Regions from separate parts of the Mus musculus genome. Here regions 1 and 2 are each reported to be linked to region 3. Evidence: microRNA targets listed by miRTarBase, many of them from high-throughput screens and not tested one by one. Region 3 holds a microRNA gene; each other region holds the end of a gene's coding sequence.
The links. Region 3 holds the annotated microRNA mmu-miR-3087-3p (UAACUCACUGUCAUGUCCUCA, at 2,189-2,209, shown strand). A microRNA usually pairs through its seed, bases 2 to 8, with sites in the 3' UTR of a target mRNA and lowers its output. Matches are read on the target gene's strand: a 7mer-m8 pairs with bases 2 to 8, a 7mer-A1 pairs with bases 2 to 7 and ends in A, and an 8mer does both.

Region 1 (3,104 bases), not on the chromosome of region 3:
GGGGGAGGCAGAGTTTTCTCCCTAGGATTTTGATTCCTCTTCCACTCATCTCCATCCCTAGGAGTTCCCTTCCCCAAGAACTTCCAGCAGGTCTGCACCAAGATCCTGACCCGACTCTTCCGAGTCTTTGTCCATGTCTACATCCACCACTTTGACAGCATCCTCAGCATGGGGGCGGAGGCACATGTCAACACCTGCTATAAGCACTTTTACTACTTCATCCAGGAGTTCAGCCTGGTGGACCAGAGGGAACTGGAGCCACTGGTAAGGTCATGTCTCACTACCCTGTGCTACCAGTGCTCGCTCCTGAAAGTTCAGATCCAAAGGAGCTGTATGAAACGCCTATACCCAGGGGCTACAACTCATTTATCATTAGATTCTGTACTCTCATAGAGAATTCATGGAGATGTCAGTTTACAACTCCAGATCTGCTGCCATGATTTGCAGCTTAGGGGTGGAGGGGTGAGGCTCAATAAACCCCATGATTTGGCAAGGAGTTGCCTGGCAAGCTGAGATCAAACTAACCCTTCCTTACTTTGTGTCTCTACAGAGGGAGATGACAGAACGGATCTGTCACTGAGTCCAGATCTGGATGCTGTTGCCTGTCAGATGGACCATCTGCAGACAGTGTAGCCTGGAGAGGGGACCCTTAGGAGCCTGTGGGTAGAGAAATCTGAAGGCCTGCTTAAGAGTAGGAACCCTCTATAGACCCAACACCTCTGGACTTCTCAGAAGTCTGTCTGCATCCTAGAATGCATGAAGAAGGGAGGGTTCCAAGTGGGCCACAGAAGAAAAGGAGTTTAGCCCCTCATATTAAGTCCAAGAGTAGGGCAGGCTACCAGGGTTCTGCTCTGATATTTCAACCTTACACTCTACCATGACAGTTCCCAACTCCATGGGGGAATAAGGATGTGGCTGAGTGCTGGCAAGAAAATTATAGAGAGTGAGTGCCTGTTCCTGAGTAAGCAAGTGTGTGTGTGTGTGTGTGTGTGTGTGTGTGTGTGTGTGTGTGTGTGATTGTGGGATTTGTCTGAGAGATCTAGGTCCTTCCAGACACATAGTAGGCTCTCATTATGGATGGATAGATGATGGATGTATAGATAGATGGAGAGGTTAACTATAAGTCCATGACCATTTTAGGAGTAATGACAGCTTAGTGACCCAACTCTGACCATGTGTACAAGTGTACAAATGTGTGTGTATAGATGGAATTGTACCTCTGAATCTTCTAGACTACCATCTTCTATAAACATGAGTCCCTGGCATTTGAGTGGAGGTTAGACAGTGCAGCTTTGCCCTGAGTTCCTTAAACCTCTGACCTATCACCATGTGGGCTGATTTGCCCAGCCAAGGATGTCTATGGATTGTTAGTTCACTCATCTCTGCCTCTAGCAGGGCCTGATATCATTAAGCCTATGAGCCTGGCAGTGGTGGCACACACCTTTAATCTCAGCACTTAGGAGGCAGAGGTAGGTTCGATCTCTGAGTTCGAGGCCAGCCTGGTCTACAGAGTGAGTTCCAGGACAGCCAGGGCTACATAGAGAAACCCTGTCTCAAAAAACAAAAAACAAAAAAACAAAAACAAAAACAAAAAAAACAAGCAAACATATGGTCAGCCTCTTGAGGGTTGGGATTGATCCCTCAGGGTCCCCTGGATCTTGAACTTGGACACAAGATACTTCAATCTCAAACCCAGAATCTACTGACATGACTGAAGGCCAGCACAAAATAGCCCTCCAGACCAGGGAGCCACTGGAACTTGAATGAATTGAAGAATCCAATTTTCTTCTATCTCAGGACACTGAGGATCATGCAACTGATGGAGACCTTCCCATCCTAAAAACACCTGCCTCGGCCCAGCCTCCTGATACATTCAGGCTTCTTGGATTTCCAAGCCACAGCTATCCAGAGAGGCTAGGATGCTTATTCATTAGCCATTACTTAATACCTCCATGCTGAGCCCTCTGCACAGACTCACAGGCAGGGAAACCGGCAGAAATAGGTTTCTGCCCTTCCAGAGCCTTTATCCTGAGAGGCCAGGAGGGCAAGAAGTCACATAAGAATATTGTCTCTGTCTCTCAATATGCATTGGAGGAAATTGAAACCGGTAAAAATTCAAAGCTCTTGACTTCTACTCTAGGGCCTGCTGATTGCAACACCAAGATGCATGTGCAAATAGAGGCTGTCAGACACTCTCCAGGACACAACTGTTTCTGCTTTGAGTAAGGATTTCTAGCCTGATGCCACAAAGCCCTACCACACCCTGGCCTGGCTAGAGATGGCTGCTGAGGCAAACCTCCAAAACCAGGCCCCTTCTTATGGCTGAGGAACTGCCTGCCTTCCAAAGAAACAGTGGGGCTCTCCGGGGCAGCAGGACCTGGGATGTCTGCTGGCTCCAGAAAAGTCCCCAAGGGAAACAGGCTGGCCTGCAGCTTTGGCAATGTCTCAGAACTGAGGACAGTGGGAGATTCCCCCCACGGTGGGCTGCAGAATATATTCTGAAATCTAGGCTGTGAAAAGGGACCACAGGGGAGGGGGGAGGAGGGAAATCTATTTTTGTGAAAAGAAAGATTTTGCTATTTTTTTGTAAAATAAAAGATACAAACTAAAGCAACCACTGGTGGGAAGTGGTGTTCTGGGTGCCACACGTGTCTTGGTGGATTGTAGGAGAGACCGTTAGAGTGGGATTAAGACATTCTGTCCTAAGCTCCTGGACCATATGGGCACAGTCATGACTGACTAGCTACCCAGTGTGGGGACACCCAAGTTCTCCCAGGGCTCTGAGTCGTAGAGTAAGATAAGTCGAGAGCCTTGAGGATGTCGTAGGAGGGCAGTGCAGGGTGTGCCTCCAAGGTACTCATTCAAAGGAGGGAATTGTTCCTTGTTTTGACACTGGCAATGCTGGTTCATGTCAGGGTGGTTTGGAAGAACCGATGGCTAAAAGTGCAGTAGGAAATACAGCCCCAACCCCAACCACAGAACAAGGAGCCCCTCTCAGGACTCAAAGTAGGGGAGGTAGGGCAGGTTTCAATCCAGAGCATATTCCCCAGGAGACAGCTAGAACTCACTGCCCCTAAACCACAACCACTCAGACAGGAGTCAAA
Region 2 (3,104 bases), not on the chromosome of region 3:
AATTGTAGCAAATTCTTTTTCTAAAGTGCTTAAGGCAGCTCCTTCCTGTCTACTTCCAGCTAAATGAAACTGGTTTGGATTCAACTGCTAAGAGGGAAATACAATACTTAATACATATTTTATGAAGCAGTTCTTCACACTGGTTATATATCCCTTACAGTCCACCTCCCCTATATTTCCTTCATGGAAAGCAGCCATGTCCAAGCTGTGTAAGCAGACATAGAGCAGTGAAGAACGCTGGAGTGAAGAGGGCTGGCCAGCTTGCCACAGCTGACTGAGCTGAGCAGTTACCTTGCTTTGAGAAAATTTAACTAGGCACTCTATTCAATTATTTTAATTTAAAAAGAAGGGTTGACAAAATTCAATTTAACATAATAAACTTAAGATTTTTAAACTTAAATACTACAGATTTGTTCTATTTTTAAAAGAGACCCTGATGTGTATTTTAAAGCAATGAGGGTATAATTAGTACCTAATATCGTGTGATAAGAACTTGGACTCTCATTCACTGACGTTATACTTCATTCTACAAATCTGCTGAGAAATAAAACCTTCTGGGTAACTGTCGTGCGTTTTCCAATGACTGTTTGGAAACTGTAGATGAAGGTCTCAATGATGGGACAAGGACAAGGAAGAAGCACACTTGCTCCTCTGGCCTCAATAGAAGGCCTGCACCACTATGGTCCAGTGTTGCCTGCCTTAAAGTCAGTAGACAATGAGCATGAGAAAAAGGCACTGTATAAATGAGAAGATTCAACTATGCAAGATACAGTATCATAATGAAAAGGTCTATGAAAACAGCTGGCTTTTTCCTTGTCATTTTTGACAAAATAAACTTAGTAGCCACACAAAGCAATTCTAGTAAATCACTGCTTTCAGGTATGAGTCTACAAAAAGGAGTAATTCCTTTTTCCCTAGGTCATGAAATACCATTTCTATAGGTAATGGAACAATGAAAAATGTCTTTCAAACTATAATAAATGAAAAGTAAAATATTGCTTTGGGAAACCAAAAGAATATTGATATACTTCATTCTATAAACTGCCTTAGTCTTAAAAACTACCAGTGTGTTATCAGATAATAGTGTAGATATGTGTGATATGGAGAAATAATATTCTGTCAAATTTGCTTCATCAACAGAACAAAAATAATCATGCTACTAAGTAGTAAATTTTAAGAGCAAATACTTATTATGATCTACAAGCTACATGAAGAAAACAAAAATGAACACTTCTCCAGGGAAGTTTGTCAGAAGTCCAAGAAACTTAAAACAAGAAGAGATTTAGAAGTCTCAAAAATTAATCAGAGATCAAATATTCATTTCTTTAAAGTTCTTAAAGCAGTTTTACAATCTCAACTTCTAGTTTGGCTCAAAAACCTTGAATGAAAAGTTTTAATTGACTTTGTAATAAAAGACTTTTCCGTTAATAACCACAGGTTTTGCTCACTGCTTCCCACATGCCTTCAGATTTGAAAAAGGAAACTATATTCATTTTTGGAAGAATCATAAACTTTTAAACAGTGAATGAATGGACCAAAAAGACAGAAACAAAAACCAAACCAAATCAAAACACCCCTCAAATGATTGTTTGAAAAACACATATACCAATTAAGTAGGACACATTTTGTTTTTGTTTTTGTTTGGTTGGTTTTTTTGAGACAGGGTTTCTCTGTGTAGTCCTGGCTGTCCTGGAACTCACTCTATAGACCAAGCTGGCCTTGAACTTAGAAATTCACCTGCCTCTGCCTCCCAAGTGCTGGGATTAAAGGTATGCACCACTATGCCCAGCTAGGACACATGTTTTTTTTTTTAAACAGCTGGTAAACCAATCCATATCTTTATAAAAGAACATACAAATTATTCCAGAAAAGAATACTTTAGGCACATTTCTTTATAATCTTACACAGACAAAAAACAAAAAAAAACAAAACAAAAAAACAACAAAACCCAGCAATATACAGCTTTTTACCCTTTATAAAGAACTTAATTCACAAACTTTCATAAGCAATAATTATTATCAGTGCCAAATTCAAGTGGAAGTTTTATCAAAGATGCAAAGACAGCTATAAAAGTGGGGTCAAAGCAGAGAACAAACTTAGAGAGCACGGTTTCTCAGGTGGTGCCCAGGAGCTGGTGGAGGAATGGACAGAATGACTCAACACAAACACACAAGAATACTCCTTTGCACTGCCTAAATTCTCTGTCTGCTTGATATTTTTGAGTTATAACTATAAGAAAATACTACAATATTTTAGAGGAGAAAGTGATATGAATCTAGTCAATCCATAAGTTACCCTATCAAAAACTCAGTTTATTTATAAAAGACTAAAATAAGCCACCATAGGTCAATTTCTCTGCCTAGGCAAAGATTTCAATTTCTAGGAAGCCTTGGGGGACCTTGTGTTTTTAAAGCCTCAGTGTAGCATGTAATGACAGCCGGTGAGGAGCAGAAACAGAGCAAGGGCAGGGAGAAAGGCAAGCTTTTAATGCTTAGCAACCCGGGCCCAGGGCTCGCCAGGCGTAATTACACCTACCAGACAAACCAGAGGAGCTTAAGAGACAGAAAGATGGCTTTCTACACAAACAGTTCAACACCGCCCCTTTCCTAATCACTACTCAATATCACTATGTCAGCCTCCTGCACCCCAACTGCTTGATTCTGGGACGCAGGCAATAACCTCCATGGCTGCTTCCTATTTGGTAGTTAATCTAACAGACTCCAGGCTTTAAAGCAGAACATAGAAAACCTGATTCCACCACTCAGAAATATCTGTTAGTAACTGTGTGGGAAAGGCCACACAGTCAAAGGGAAGGGAAACAGTCTGAGTTGCCATTACTGAGTGACATTGTTCAGGCTGCTAGTTGAACCAGTCATTCCGTTTTCACTTTTCTGAAGTGTTCTCACAGCACTTGGAACCTGCATTCCAGTACTCAAAGAAAGTCCACCACACCACACCTAAGAGAAGACAAAAAACAAAGTCTCAGTTAAACTCAAATCCAATTATAACTCCAGTAATCCTTAACTTTCCATTTGAAAGGCAAAATGTCACAGGGATGAACATCAACAAATCCCAAACTGATAAGCTTCGTGCTCGAGCTGAGG
Region 3 (3,104 bases):
GGTGGCTCTAGAGCCATTATCTTAGACGAGCCCACGGCTGGCGTGGACCCCTATGCTCGCCGTGCCATCTGGGACCTCATTCTGAAGTACAAGCCGGGTGAGCAGGCTAGCGGGCTGGCCGTGGCGGGGGTGGTGTCTCGGCCTGCCCTGTCTGTTCACTTACCTTGGTGTTTGGCCTACCCCAGGCCGCACTATCCTCCTGTCTACCCATCACATGGATGAGGCTGACCTGCTGGGGGATCGCATTGCCATCATCTCCCATGGGAAGCTCAAATGCTGTGGCTCTCCCCTCTTCCTCAAGGGAGCCTATGGCGATGGGTACCGCCTCACATTGGTCAAGCAGCCTGCAGAACCTGGCACCTCCCAAGGTCTGTGCTGAGACTACTTGAACCAGCCTCTGGTCCTCCGTACCCCATGATTCCTTACCTAGGAGAGGTGCAACCTCACCCTCACTTCATGGGGACTTGGGACACCTCTAAGCCTCATCTCGACTTGCTTGCCCACTAAGGCCCCTTCTTCCTCAGCCTCTCACGCATCCCCTTCTGCTCCCCCTTCCTTCCCAGAGCCAGGGCTGGCTTCCAGCCCCTCAGGTTGTCCTCGGCTGAGCAGCTGCTCGGAGCCGCAAGTGTCCCAGTTCATCCGCAAGCATGTGGCTTCCTCCCTGCTGGTCTCAGACACGAGCACCGAGCTCTCCTACATCCTGCCCAGCGAGGCCGTCAAGAAGGGGGCCTTCGAGCGCCTCTTTCAGGTGTGTGGGGCTGGCTGTGGTGGCTAGGGACACGAGGGGCCCGGAGAGAAGAAGGACACGTCGCTGCCTGCGTTCCGTGGCGCTGCCTTACCCGATCTCTTTGCAGCAACTGGAACACAGCCTGGATGCGCTCCATCTGAGCAGTTTTGGGCTGATGGACACAACTCTGGAGGAGGTGTTCCTCAAGGTGTCTGAAGAAGATCAGTCACTGGAGAACAGCGAGGCTGGTAAGAGCACCCAAGGCTGGCGGTCTGTCCAGCTACCCACAGAAGGCCCTGGGGACACTGCTTCTCTGTAAGTCTCTGGAAGTGGGGTCAGGATAGGCTCGTGGTGGATGGTATGGTAGCTCTGCCTACCTGTGAGTAGGTATGTGAATTAGAGGCTGGGATCAAGGCAGGGCCTGGGGTTATGGGAGGACACTAGGGACTGAGGTACTAAGATGTCCTGGAGAGGAGAGCCTTGGCCCAAGCCTTCCCTCCCTCACCGCCTCTGTTGTTTGCAGATGTGAAGGAGTCCCGGAAGGATGTGCTGCCTGGGGCAGAGGGCCTGACAGCTGTGGGGGGTCAAGCTGGCAACCTGGCTCGGTGCTCAGAGCTGGCACAGTCACAGGCATCGCTGCAGTCTGCATCCTCTGTGGGCTCTGCCCGTGGGGAGGAGGGCACCGGCTACTCTGATGGCTACGGTGACTACCGTCCCCTCTTTGACAACTTGCAGGACCCAGACAATGTCAGCTTACAAGGTGGAAGCCAATGGGGAAACTGGGGAGGGTCCAGAAGGGTGGCGTGGGACTGGCTATTTACCTCTGCCTCTCTGCACAGAGGCAGAGATGGAGGCCCTGGCTCAGGTGGGCCAGGGCAGCCGCAAACTCGAGGGCTGGTGGCTGAAGATGCGGCAGTTCCATGGGCTCCTGGTGAAGCGCTTCCACTGTGCTCGTCGGAACTCCAAAGCTCTCTGCTCTCAGATTCTGCTGCCTGCCTTCTTTGTCTGTGTGGCCATGACTGTGGCGTTGTCTGTCCCTGAGATTGGTAAGGGTGCCTGGCCCATGTGGTCTGGGGCGAGGCTACTGTCTTGCCCCTGGGTCTTGGCTTCATTTTTCTCCCAGCCCCCTGTAGAACAGTCCTGAGCTCCTCTCCTCACACTCTGAACCTTACTCAGGGGCTCATGAGAGGATCTGTCTCCTTAGGAGTCATCCCCACAAGCTCAGCCCTCTCTGTGTTAGGGCTGGGGCTGGCATCAGATAACTGCAGTCTGCTCAGGTCTCCGTATTCACCCATCAGGTGACCTACCTCCACTGGTCCTGTCACCCTCTCAGTACCACAACTACACCCAGCCCCGTGGCAACTTTATCCCTTATGCCAATGAGGAACGCCAGGAGTACCGGTGAGGCCGTGGGCTGGGGCTGTAGCACAGGGCAGGGCAAGAGTTGAGACTTATGGCTCCTAACTCACTGTCATGTCCTCAGATTACGGCTGTCACCTGATGCCAGCCCCCAGCAGCTGGTGAGCACATTCCGGCTGCCCTCTGGTGTGGGTGCCACTTGTGTGCTCAAGTCTCCTGCCAACGGCTCCCTGGGACCCATGCTGAACTTAAGCAGTGGAGAGTCCCGCCTGCTGGCGGCACGGTTCTTCGACAGTATGTGCCTGGAGTCCTTCACACAGGGGCTGCCACTGTCCAACTTCGTGCCACCTCCGCCCTCACCCGCCCCTTCTGACTCACCCGTGTCCCCAGATGAGGATTCACTGCAAGCCTGGAACATGTCCCTGCCACCTACTGCTGGGCCAGGTACTACCTCAGGGAAGGCTCCGGGGGGCACAGGCATGAGTGACCCATCTCATTGTGCTGCACTGTGCCCACAGAGACGTGGACGTCGGCGCCTTCTCTGCCACGCCTAGTGCATGAGCCAGTCCGCTGTACCTGCTCTGCACAGGGCACGGGGTTCTCATGCCCCAGCAGTGTGGGTGGACACCCACCCCAGATGAGAGTGGTCACAGGTGACATCCTGACTGACATCACTGGCCACAATGTTTCTGAGTACCTGCTCTTCACCTCTGACCGTTTCCGACTACACCGGTAAGTTGGCCTGAAGTGGCTGTGAACAAGGGGTGCCTGGCAGATGGCTGCCGAGCCTCAGTGACCCTCCCACCTGTCTTGTACAGATATGGAGCCATCACCTTTGGTAATGTTCAGAAGTCTATCCCAGCATCCTTTGGTGCCCGGGTCCCTCCTATGGTGCGGAAGATTGCAGTGCGGAGGGTGGCTCAGGTAGGCGGCTGCCCTTGGGTTTTGGGCACCTGGTCCTAAGCCTAATAACTTTTGGTTTCTGAGCCTCTCTGAGGTCCTTGCCCCTCCCCAGGTG

Region 1: miRTarBase lists Mob3c as a target of mmu-miR-3087-3p. Seed matches in the 3' UTR shown: 7mer-m8 at 1,512-1,518.
Region 2: the mRNA of Fsd1l is a reported target of mmu-miR-3087-3p. Seed matches in the 3' UTR shown: 7mer-m8 at 1,694-1,700.

The regions. Positions count from the first base shown.
Region 1 is chr4:115,833,572-115,836,675 of GRCm38, forward strand. It overlaps Mob3c (MOB kinase activator 3C), which reads left to right. Exons shown (of 4, transcript NM_175308.5): 3 at 62-264; 4 at 551-2,614. The coding sequence ends at 580. Among named protein-coding and RNA genes, the nearest start is that of Mknk1, 4.1 kb to the right of the region's middle.
Region 2 is chr4:53,700,894-53,703,997 of GRCm38, reverse strand. It overlaps Fsd1l (fibronectin type III and SPRY domain containing 1-like), which reads right to left. Exons shown (of 13, transcript NM_001195284.1): 13 at 1-2,957. The coding sequence ends at 2,835. Among named protein-coding and RNA genes, the nearest start is that of Fktn, 12 kb to the left of the region's middle.
Region 3 is chr2:25,440,625-25,443,728 of GRCm38, forward strand. Mir3087 (microRNA 3087) reads left to right here and starts at 2,155; the gene lies at 2,155-2,210. It overlaps Abca2 (ATP-binding cassette, sub-family A (ABC1), member 2), which reads left to right. Exons shown (of 49, transcript NM_001368624.1): 23 at 1-97; 24 at 186-368; 25 at 564-748; 26 at 855-975; 27 at 1,251-1,487; 28 at 1,567-1,773; 29 at 2,026-2,128; 30 at 2,211-2,530; 31 at 2,605-2,818; 32 at 2,905-3,010; 33 at 3,102-3,104.